Arabidopsis thaliana: one gene and its partner. The protein of the gene in region 1 purifies or fractionates together with the protein of each later gene. This does not show direct contact. Each region holds a gene or a part of one and is shown on either strand. Other genes may lie near its edges. The genes, in order: AT3G58510 and HON5.

What was found.
Region 2: the proteins of AT3G58510 (region 1) and HON5 fractionate together in Arabidopsis thaliana (co-fractionation; one large-scale study listed by BioGRID). This does not show direct contact.

What each region holds. Positions count from the first base shown.
Region 1 is NC_003074.8:21,638,296-21,644,453, reverse strand, and holds AT3G58510 (DEA(D/H)-box RNA helicase family protein), read right to left. Parts: upstream 4,477-6,158; 5' UTR 4,405-4,476; exon of another isoform or gene 4,177-4,404; intron 3,953-4,176; 5' UTR 3,847-3,952; coding exon 3,115-3,846; intron 3,020-3,114; coding exon 2,936-3,019; intron 2,549-2,935; coding exon 2,306-2,548; intron 2,038-2,305; coding exon 1,876-2,037; intron 1,784-1,875; coding exon 1,670-1,783; intron 1,494-1,669; coding exon 990-1,493; 3' UTR 659-989; downstream 1-658. Other genes in the region: AT3G58520 (Ubiquitin carboxyl-terminal hydrolase family protein), read left to right, coding at 1-533; PP2A-4 (protein phosphatase 2A-4), read left to right, coding at 5,543-5,635.
Region 2 is NC_003070.9:17,972,911-17,978,287, reverse strand, and holds HON5 (high mobility group A5), read left to right. Parts: upstream 1-1,624; 5' UTR 1,625-1,986; coding exon 1,987-2,226; intron 2,227-2,311; coding exon 2,312-3,205; intron 3,206-3,741; coding exon 3,742-3,816; intron 3,817-3,909; coding exon 3,910-4,140; 3' UTR 4,141-4,646; downstream 4,647-5,377.

The DNA of each region.
Region 1 (6,158 bases):
GAGGATATGGAGCACAGAAGAAGGTCAAAGCATGGATGGATGAGTTTCAAAAACTTCCCTACATATCTCCTTACGATGACCCGAGTAACATTGATCCGGAAAGCGATCTCATGGAGAAACGAGCTGTGGCTGTTTTGCACGAGCTCTTGAGCTTGACTATCCACAAGAAAACCAAGAGGAACTACTTGAGAAGCATGAGAGCGGAGCTCAACATTCCGCACAAGTTCACTCGTCTATTCACGCGATACCCCGGCATTTTCTACCTCTCATTGAAGTGTAAGACAACAACTGTGATCCTCAAAGAAGGGTATCGCCGAGGAAAACTAGTGGATCCGCATCCTCTCACTCGTCTTCGAGATAAGTTTTATCATGTGATGAGAACAGGGTTTCTTTATCGGGCGAGAGGGCTAGGCATGGTCTCTAAAGAGGAACTTTTGCTTGATAGGCCAGAGGATGACCTTGAGGAAGAAGGCTCTGAAGAAGAAGAGATTGTGGAAGGAAGTGAGCTTGAAGAAGATTCTGAAGCTGAATAGCAATAGTTGTTGAATCTAATTGTTGTATGTTAATTCACACAGAGCAACAATTTATGTACCTGCATTTTATCTTTTTGAAGTAACGGAACGGAGTTTAAACAATGTAAGCACAAAGTCCTTAAAATGATATAAAGAGAGATTGTATTTCACCAAGAAAGATTGTCAACAACAAAGGGAAACAAAAAGACAAATTGGATTTCAAACTAACAAATGAAATTGTTAGAAGAAACCAAGAACAAGATCAAAATCGGAAAAACTACTGTCTATCTTTTAGGACAAATCCTAAAAATAGCCTGAAAAAACAGAGAGATCCACCTAATAGCAAGATTAGTTAAATCCATCTCTTGAATGAGAGATCTCAAAGGTGGGGGCAAATACACGTGCTCTCTTGGGAATGTAGAAGAGAAGAAATAAATAGTCAGGTTAAAAAGAGGAAAAATTGGGGAGCCTAATTGGCTAATCCCAAGCACTGGTCACTCCAGCACCATACCCACCGCTTGGAGCACCACCGTATCCACCACCACCATAGCCTCCTCCGCCATAGTAATCACTGCCGCCTCCTCCGCCGCCGCCGCCTCCTCCTCTACTGTAAGAGCCTTCCCTTCTGAAGTCACGGCCACCAAACCGACCACCAGACCGTTTCTTACCACCACCAAATGAAGCACGTGAAGCATATCGTGTGAGCCACTCGGGGACCTCTTGATTGGCTTCTTGCATTAGCTCAGCAAGCGACCTAGCCAGTTGTGCATTGTTCTCGTTGAAGAAGGCAGTTGCTATTCCAGATTTGCCTGCACGTCCTGTTCGTCCGATACGGTGGACATAGTCATCAATGTCATTTGGTAGATCGAAGTTTACAACATGAGCCACGTGGGGAATGTCAAGACCACGTGCTGCCACGTCTGTTGCAACCAAAATAGGTGTCCTCCCAGTTTTGAAGGACCTCAGTGCCACTTCTCTTTCCTTTGAATTCATAACAACATAAAGAAGTCAATCAGATTGAGTCAACAGAGAACAACTTACTGATGATGATCTTTAAAGAGTTCATTTCAGTAATATCATCGAGGTTGTTTCTATAGTTTGGTTTTAGCTTTAGTGTGCACAATTATCCAAATTTCAACTTAACTCAATCAACGAACCTGTTGTGTTCTATCGCCATGAATGGAGGTTGCTGGAAACTCATTCATGCACAGCCAATTTTCCAAAGTATCAGCTCCCCTCTTTGTCTCCACAAAAACTAATGTCAATGATTGCTGTGTATAAAAAGTGAAGAAAGGCAGAATTAGTCAGAGCTTCAGTGATAATAAATCTTGGATAAGTGAACAGATGGTAAATAATGCATTACCTTGTCTTGGGTCTCTCTTTGCGCGTGAAGCAGGTCCATGAGATGGCTTCTCTTGTCAGACTCTTGGACAAACTCAACCCTTTGGGTAATTAAATCAGTGCTTGAACCAACTCTTCCCACAGCCAAAAATATATAGTTTGACATGAAATCAGCTGCAAGTCTCTGCACAGGAAACAAATACGGTAATATTAAAAGAAACGTTAAGAACCAATCATTCTTGTGCGTGCTGAATATTATGCAGCTGTTCTCACATAAGAAATATAACACTCTAAAGACTAAATCATCAAAGATTCACCTCATGATCTGGGAAGGAACAGAGTTACAGACATAAATCCAAGAACACTGTTATCCTGTTCTTTGTTACCATGCTACTTCACTAGAATAGAATTTAAGAGCAAGAAAAAGGTGTTTCATGGACAAGTAAACCAACCTGAATCTGACTTGGAAATGTAGCACTGAACAGCATTGTCTGTCTCACCCCACGTGGAGGCATGTCCATCTGCTCAACAATCTTTCTAATCTGTGGCTCAAAACCCATGTCCAGCATCCTGTCTGCCTCATCTAGAGCTAAAAACCTAATCATCTGCATTGAGACTCTAGCTCTTTCAAGCAAATCATTTAACCGGCCAGGAGTTGCCACAAGGATATCACATCCCCTCTCGAGTTCCCTGAGCTGAATAAACAATAAAATATGTGGTCAACAAATCGATGCTTGAAAACTGTTTGACTAACTAACACCTGTAACAAGGATTAAAAATTCCAATGCTTCTGCATGTTATGTAAAGATGATACAAGCGATACGACAATGTTAACTAGCATATGAAAAAATTTGTAATACAAGATTTGATTTTCGCCAACATTATGCATTGCTGACTTCAAAATCAGAACATATGTTGACAAAGGAGACTGGCATTGGGAAGGAAAGAGCTAGCAGAACTCAAATCAGTAAGCGAAAGCTGCTACTCACATAAAACAAAAAACAGTGCTAGAATCATGTAGCAAAATCCAAACTCCAATGACAAGCTAAAAACCAATAAACAAAAAAGTGTATGATAATTACCTGCTGGTGAATGGGTGTTCCTCCATAAGCAACAACAACCTTCACACCAGTTTGGTAGGAGAATTTTTTGGCTTCATCATGTATCTGCAAGAAAATCACAGAATGAGAAATGTGTATATTATATACACGTACATTTTTTCTTTCTGAAGAAACTCTATTCTTGTTGGTGTGTATATTACCTGGCATGCCAATTCCCTTGTTGGTGAGAGGATGACTGCAAAAGGGTAAACCGCCCGTGAACCACGGGGTCTTTCTACATGCTGATCTTTCATGATTCCACTAATTATTGGAAAGCAAAAAGCAGCAGTCTTCCCAGACCCAGTCTGGGCACAGGCCATCAAATCTCTCTCTGCAAGCAGTATTGGAATAGCATGACGCTGTACCGGTGTTGGCCTCACATACTTGCACCTCCGGATGTTCAGATTTAATGCATCCCCAAGATCTATGTCAGCAAATGTGTTAACAGGAGGGGGCACGTCTCCCCCACTGGTCTCAACTGGAATATCTTCATAGGCATCAAAATTAATGCCAGTATTCTCCTGCTCTGTAAAGACCGGTTCTAACTCAGCATCATCTCCAAATGGGTTTACTTCACGTTCCCTACGGTCCCACCCTCCACTTCTGTTGTTCCAGCCACCACCACCACCACCTCCTCCTCCAGCACCATAACCATAGCCAGTGCGCCCTCCATCATTCCTATAGCCACCGCCGCTGGCACCACCACCCCCACTGCTAGGAGGAGCCCAACGAGACCCAGCTGGTTGACCACCATACCCTGCATGATCATTTTGTGGCAAAGGAGCAGCAACAGGCTCTGATGGCCTGTTCCGTAGGTGTGGGGGAACATAAGGAGGCTTTGACTGAGAAACGGCCTTCTCTGAATCAGCCACATCTGCCCATGATGCACTCATGATTGAAATTTGTAACGTCCTAAATCTAGAAAAAGTTGCAACTTCCCAGCAGAAAACTTATCAATAAACAATAACTTTATCTTCTTATCCACGAAAAATAGAGAACCTGGCAAATACCAAATAGGTCAATAGTTAGCACAAACGCAATCATAGAAATCACAATAGCAGCTGTGTAATGTAAAAATCGAACTCCATAAGCAGGAAACCCCCAAAATCCGAAATCAAATCTACCAAGACGAAGAGAAACAAAGAGAACCCAGCCAGGGAACGCCAAGCGAAGCAAGCAAATTAGAATCGTATCACGCAAACAGAAGAAGAAAGGAGTATCACCTCAAACGAAATAAACCAATTAAGGAACCCTAGCTAGTTGATACAGCTCGAAATCGAGAGATAAACGTAGGCGGAAACAAAAAACGAGAGGATATAGAGAAAGAACCTCAAAAATCGGTGAGAGAGAATCGAATCGGTATCCAAAAAAACGAAGAAAATCAACGGTAGTCGTTCACCCAACGGAAAAGCAAGCTCGGGGGAGAGAAAAACCCTAAATTCGATGTTTACCTTCTGGATCGGACACAACGCGATAAAATAGACATGTTATTAATCTTCAAAATGACCTTAAGCCAAAAATATGGTATGATAATGAGATTAGCTTGTTTTATATTTTAAGAATTGATTTAAAATCTAATTATATACACTCATAAGAGTTTGAGAAAAACATATATACAATAATTATTGGGGAAACAAATTTACACTTAAATCTTTAGAACTTTAAAATTGTTTATTCTGAATTTAATTGTATCTAACTTAAAAACGATTCAACTTATATGTAAAAAAAAGTTCAAACCATATTTATTTCCAAAAATAGAGTAATCTAAATCTTTCATGAACCTATATTTTGAATATTATTTTTATGTTCGGACTCTCATGAATTGTCAATAATTAGAGATTTCTTCTTTTTTTTTTGGTTAAATTTATTTTTCATGAAGGAGCAAATCAATTTGTATTTTACATTCATCGTTCATAAATTTTAGTATGCATCATTAGAGAGAATAAAAATATATATGTCACATAAATTTTGGTCAAAATTTTATGTTGTAACCATTCAAATTTTAATTAAAATGATGTTTTGGCTAAATCAAAATTACATTTCATTAGCTATGAATAAATAGTTGATAATGTATTTTCCCATAGCTAGACCCTTATGTAAACACATTTTACTTAGATTATAGTTTTTTGAGAAAAAACTAAAATGTTTGTTAAAAATGAAAAATTCTTCAAAACAATAGTTGTATTGTATGTTTATATAGTTTTTGTGTGTTTAATTAAAAGAAATAAAACTACTTTACAAATTTTGTGTGTATTACCTATTTAAACACTTTTATAAGAAAACTAAAGGGTGTTTTAGTCAATTTATCATTTAGATCTCAACGAGGAGGATATAATGGTCAAATCAAGACACAGCTCGAAAGCTACAAACCCACTCGCCCCTTTACCTCACGCGCCCCTTTGTTTTGATTTCCTCTCTCACTCTGCACACGAAGGCGAGAGAGAGAGAGAAAGAAAAAAGCGAAGAATACGCAGAATCCATCCAATTTAGGGTTAGGGCTGCCCCTAATCTGGAAACCTTTGCCTCGTTTCTGATCTGTTTTCCGGATCCGACTTGAAGGAAAGAAGACGACGACGCACTACCAAAAACATGGGCGCGAATTCGCTTCCAACGGATGCAACCCTCGATCTAGATGAGCAGATCTCGCAGCTCATGCAGTGCAAGCCTCTCTCCGAGCAACAGGTGCCTGTGATTGTGTTAGAATATAGCTTTCCTCGCACCTTTTCGTTTTCTTCGTTTAAAATTGGATCTGTAATTTAGTTTTTCGAGTGAACTTTGGGCCATTTCGGTGATTAGATCTCAGATTTTGTTTCAAATCAAGGGTGGATTATTTCTGTGAGTATATGATGATCTGATTCTTCGAGAAGGATCTTCTAGTATAGGTGTAGAGCTCATTTCACGTCAGTTTTACGGGTTGATAGAAATGGATTTCATTTTTTTTTGTTTCTTAATGATTTCTGGCTGTATTGGATTCTGAATAGGCGATTAGCTCGCATTTCAATATGCTTTGTATTGTGGATTTGTCTCACCCACAGCCAAAATTGTATCCTTTTGATTAGGTGATTGGCTAGTTAAAATCTCATCAGTTAGATGCATTACTGGATTTTCCAATTGGGGGAATGTATCTTAAATGATAATAGATTTAGCTGAAGTTGAGAGAGAGGTTGCAATTCGATAAAAGTTCTTCTAAGCTAATATCGAGGGA
Region 2 (5,377 bases), on another chromosome or scaffold:
ATGCGCCAAACCATCCCAAAAGGTAGAAGTCGGATATATGTAACAGAATGATTTGGAGTTATTGAGATTTGGACTTAAGATCATTCGTTAGGCTGAATAGAGCAGTCCATAGAATCCCTGAACATCTCCAATTAGCGTAATCTCAAGTGAAGAATAGAGACTTGGCCCTTTAGATGTCATGCTTATTCTGCACAAACTCAAATAATTCGTTTGTTTTCTTCCAAATTGCTCTAGTAAACTCAAATATTTGTTTCCTCCTCCAATTTTTGTTATCTCTAGGATTCTATGAATATGCGTTTTATTCAAATATTATTAAGAATGTCTCATAGTTAACCTTTTGAGTTGAACACTTATAATAATTGGCACACACATATATATATATATATATATATATATACTGTAACCAGTAGTTTTTGTTTTGCAACTTTGCAAAAACACAAATAATCATCGGCGAATAAGAAATGATTAACCGTAGGAACAGACTGAGCGATGCGTATGCTCTCGATGCCACCATTTGTTTCAACTTTGATGATCAGTTGACTTAAAATCTCTGCACATAGAATAAAAATATATGAAGACAAATCATCGCTTTTGTCGAATTCTCCATGAAAGCTTCCAATTTTCATAGGAAGTGCCATTTACGAGGACATAGTATGAGATGGTGTTAATGTTCATCATAATCCAAATAAATGTTAAAACATTAAGAATATGAAAAAATGATTTGTTATAAATGTAGATAATGAAATTATAAATCTTATTCTAGAAAAATTTTAAATATAAAAAATGAAAACTTTTTTGAAAACTTTCAAAATTAGATAAGAAAATTGTTTATATATAATTTATTATGGTACATGAATAGAGAATTAGAATAACAAAACAAAAAGTTGAAAGAAACACAAAATGAAAAGGCTATACAAGAGAATTTAAATCAGCCATGACGAGAGAGTAACCCAATTAGACTATGGTGATTTAAATCTAAACTTTTTATTTTAGAAAGTTTATATTAAAGAATATAAATTTGAATGTTTGTGGTGTGAAAAAATTCAACTTACCTTTATTGGTTATGTATATATGGATTGAAAAATGAATAAGGAGTTCAAATATATTTTCTGAGCTTAATTTTTTTAAATCATATTAGTGTCATTTTGCGTAGTTTAACAAAGAATCTCGATGAAAATTTAGCGTTGTAAATTTATTTCGTTAAGCAACTTAACGAAGTGTCTTATTTCAAAAAGTCAATAAAATTAGCTATTAAAAATTTAAAACAAAAAGTGAATTAAAATTTGAGTTTTATTTTACCTAAAACAGTATTAACGTGTTTATAATAGCACTTTTTAACTGTTGGAGATTTTCTTTTTCTTTTTTTTGAATTAGAGTGAGATAGTGATCAAGAAAATGAAGAAGGTGTTAGTGCACATCATATAATCCAAGTAAATGTTAAAACATAAAGAATATGAAAAACTGATTGGTTAGAAATATACATTTTTTTTTGTAAACCGATATTAAGTAGAGAATTTAGTATAAAAAATCTTGTTCTAGAAATTTATTAGTATAAAGAAATGAAAGCATGTTTAAAAACTTTCAGAATTAGAAAAAAAATGTTTACATATAGTTTAATATGGTACTTGAATAGAGAAGCAGAAAAACATATAAAAAAAATTGAAAGAAACACAAAACTCAATTTTAATAACAAAAGCAAAAAACGCCACGTCATCGATCCGTGTCGTAAATCAGCACCAAAATACACTTTCAACGGTCAGATTTTAACTATCTCATCTGTCGTCATTTTCGATCTCTCTCTTACACTACTACACACACTCTCTCTCCTCCAACCTAACTATTTTTTATTTTTTATCTTCTCCTTCCACAAAACTTTTTTAATTTTATCTGAAAAATTAAAACAACCGAAACAAAAAAAAAAAACTAAAAATCAAAAATCTCATCACCTTCCTTGCTCTGTATTTTTTCTCTCTCACTAAATCCTCCATGGATCCTTCTCTCTCTGCAACCAATGATCCTCATCATCCTCCTCCTCCTCAGTTCACATCTTTCCCTCCTTTCACCAACACCAACCCCTTCGCCTCTCCAAACCACCCCTTCTTCACCGGACCCACCGCCGTCGCGCCGCCAAACAACATCCATCTCTATCAAGCAGCTCCTCCGCAGCAGCCACAAACATCTCCAGTTCCTCCTCATCCATCTATTTCCCACCCTCCTTACTCTGACGTAAGCTCTTCTTAGCTCATTCTTACATTTTGACTTTAAAGTTAGGGTTTTTAATTTCCACTCACTTTTTTTTTTCGTTGATTAGATGATTTGCACGGCGATTGCAGCGTTAAACGAACCAGATGGGTCAAGCAAGCAAGCTATTTCGAGGTACATAGAGAGAATTTACACTGGGATTCCTACTGCTCATGGAGCTTTGTTGACACACCATCTCAAGACTTTGAAGACCAGTGGGATTCTTGTCATGGTTAAGAAATCTTACAAGCTTGCTTCTACTCCTCCTCCTCCTCCTCCTACTAGTGTAGCTCCTAGTCTTGAACCTCCCAGATCTGATTTCATAGTCAACGAGAACCAACCTTTACCTGATCCGGTTTTGGCTTCTTCTACTCCTCAGACTATTAAACGTGGTCGTGGTCGACCTCCAAAAGCTAAACCAGATGTTGTTCAACCTCAACCTCTGACTAATGGAAAACTCACCTGGGAACAGAGTGAATTACCTGTCTCTCGACCAGAGGAGATACAGATACAGCCGCCACAGTTACCGTTACAGCCACAGCAGCCGGTTAAGAGACCGCCGGGTCGTCCTAGAAAAGATGGAACTTCGCCGACGGTGAAGCCAGCTGCTTCTGTTTCCGGTGGTGTGGAGACTGTGAAACGAAGAGGTAGACCTCCGAGTGGAAGAGCTGCTGGGAGGGAGAGAAAGCCTATAGTAGTCTCAGCTCCAGCTTCAGTGTTCCCGTATGTTGCTAATGGTGGTGTTAGACGCCGAGGGAGACCAAAGAGAGTTGACGCTGGTGGTGCTTCCTCTGTTGCTCCACCACCACCACCACCAACTAACGTAGAGAGTGGAGGAGAGGAGGTTGCAGTCAAGAAACGAGGAAGAGGACGGCCTCCTAAGATTGGAGGTGTTATCAGGAAGCCTATGAAGCCGATGAGAAGCTTTGCTCGTACTGGAAAACCCGTAGGAAGACCCAGAAAGGTAAAATATCATTCCTTTTTGTCTCTGCGATTACACAGTGATTATAGAGAACTTGAATATTTCTAGTCAAATAGATAAGAGAATAAAAGTTGGAACTTTTGTCTTGTGAATAAATGTCACTTTCCATTCTCAACATTGTCTCTTTCGAGCGTGTGTGTGGAGACTAGAGAGTATCTAACTAAATAAATTCTAGAGTTTAATTTATATTCGTGTCTCTGCTTTTGGCCTATACTTAATCTGGTTTTGTGGTGTACTATTAATCTAAGATATCTCTTTGTTTGGTAATCAAGAGCAACTTGGTAGGTGGCTCGCTTTAGCAACCAATAATTGTTCAGTTGAAGTGTGAGAATTACATATGAACTTATCTTTTGAGACAGACATCTTATCAAGTTTTGTCTGTTTTAAGCAGAAATTTAGTTAATTCAGTCAAAGTTCAAGAGTTTGTGTATTTCCAAGTCCACTAGAATTTCTTTGTCTATTATATTGATGAGTTAGTTATCTAATTACATTTATATTATTGCCATTTATAAACATAGAATGCGGTGTCAGTGGGAGCTTCTGGACGACAAGATGGTGACTATGGAGAACTGAAGAAGAAGTTTGAGTTGTTTGTAAGTAATCTAATGAACAGAAACACAATATGGTCCGTCCTTGGTTTTGATACTTAATTGCTTATGCTTGGTTTTGATATCTCATTTATGCAGCAAGCGAGAGCTAAGGATATTGTAATTGTGTTGAAATCCGAGATAGGAGGAAGTGGAAATCAAGCAGTGGTTCAAGCCATACAGGACCTGGAAGGGATAGCAGAGACAACAAACGAGCCAAAGCACATGGAAGAAGTGCAGCTGCCAGACGAGGAACACCTTGAAACCGAACCAGAAGCAGAGGGTCAAGGACAGACAGAAGCAGAGGCAATGCAAGAAGCTCTGTTCTAAAGATAAAGCCTTGACATAAAAAGCTAGCAAGTGGTGGGTTTACTTGTTGTGTGTTACATGAAATTTTTAATCTTATAAGGGTGTTTGCAGGAGAAAAACAAAAAGAACAATGTGATGAACTGATGATGATGATTGTGTCTCTAACCAAACAACAAGGAGAGGTAGGGTAATGTCTGTAAAGTGAATTAGGATGTTACCATTGTTCATGCTTCCCATCTCTCTCCATCGTCCATATCTGTGTAGGCAGCTTTGTTCTTTGTTCCCTCGTGTTTTTTTTAGACTGTTGTGTCTCTTATTCTATTTTGTCTCCTTAGGCTTTTTAGGAGTTGTTGTTGATGTTTATCAAAAACGCTTATGTAATTTTTATGACCACTTCTACTTTTTATGATGGTTTCTTCAAGTCTCTTACGTTATGTAGTTAGAAAACCATTAAATAAAAGTTGCTTATGTCAGTTGCTCTGTTTTAATTTGAAATCCGGTTTTAATTTTAAGTGTACTTATTGCAGAAATTAGGTAGAAGGTATAGAACGGTTTTACTCTTCACTCACACACCATTTAACCAAATTTCTAAATTTATTACTCGATAAACACTTTTTTAACAAGTTTTCAATACTTTTCTCCAAAAAAATTTTGAATTTGAAATAAAGTAGTGTATTTTTCGATTTTGGTTTTATAAATCAACTTTTTTTTTTGAAAAAGTTAAAAAGAAATCACCACCACATTTGCATGTTATACTATAATACCAAAAAATTAATATTCGTGATTTATTTTAAAAATCTGTGAATTAAAAAGAAAAATGAAATGTTGATAAATAAAAATAAAAACAAGGAGTAAAGGTGGACCCATATCGGTTGACGCAACTGATTCTGAACCTCTCGGTCGTTCGTTTCTACTCTTTCCAAGCTCTAGCCCATGGTGGTGACCTTCTTCTTCTAACCGCGAAAACCATCTCTATCTCTCTTATCTTTCTTCTCCGCCAAGTTTCTCTTTGTAATTTCTTTCTTCTTCCTCCAGATTCTTCAAGCTTCCTTTACCATCTCGCGAATCCTTCTATTAAGTTGAACAAGGTACGTACATTGCGATTTGCGAACCCTAGTTTTTCTCAAAACGAAATCTCTACGCGTGAGAGCCTGAATCTGTGTTTTACAGTCTTCGTTTCTAGATTCTAGGTTTGTGACATTTGAAATTTCGTTAAGGTTTTAGCGAAATCGAGTTTCTGGTTGTTTAGTTTAAGTCT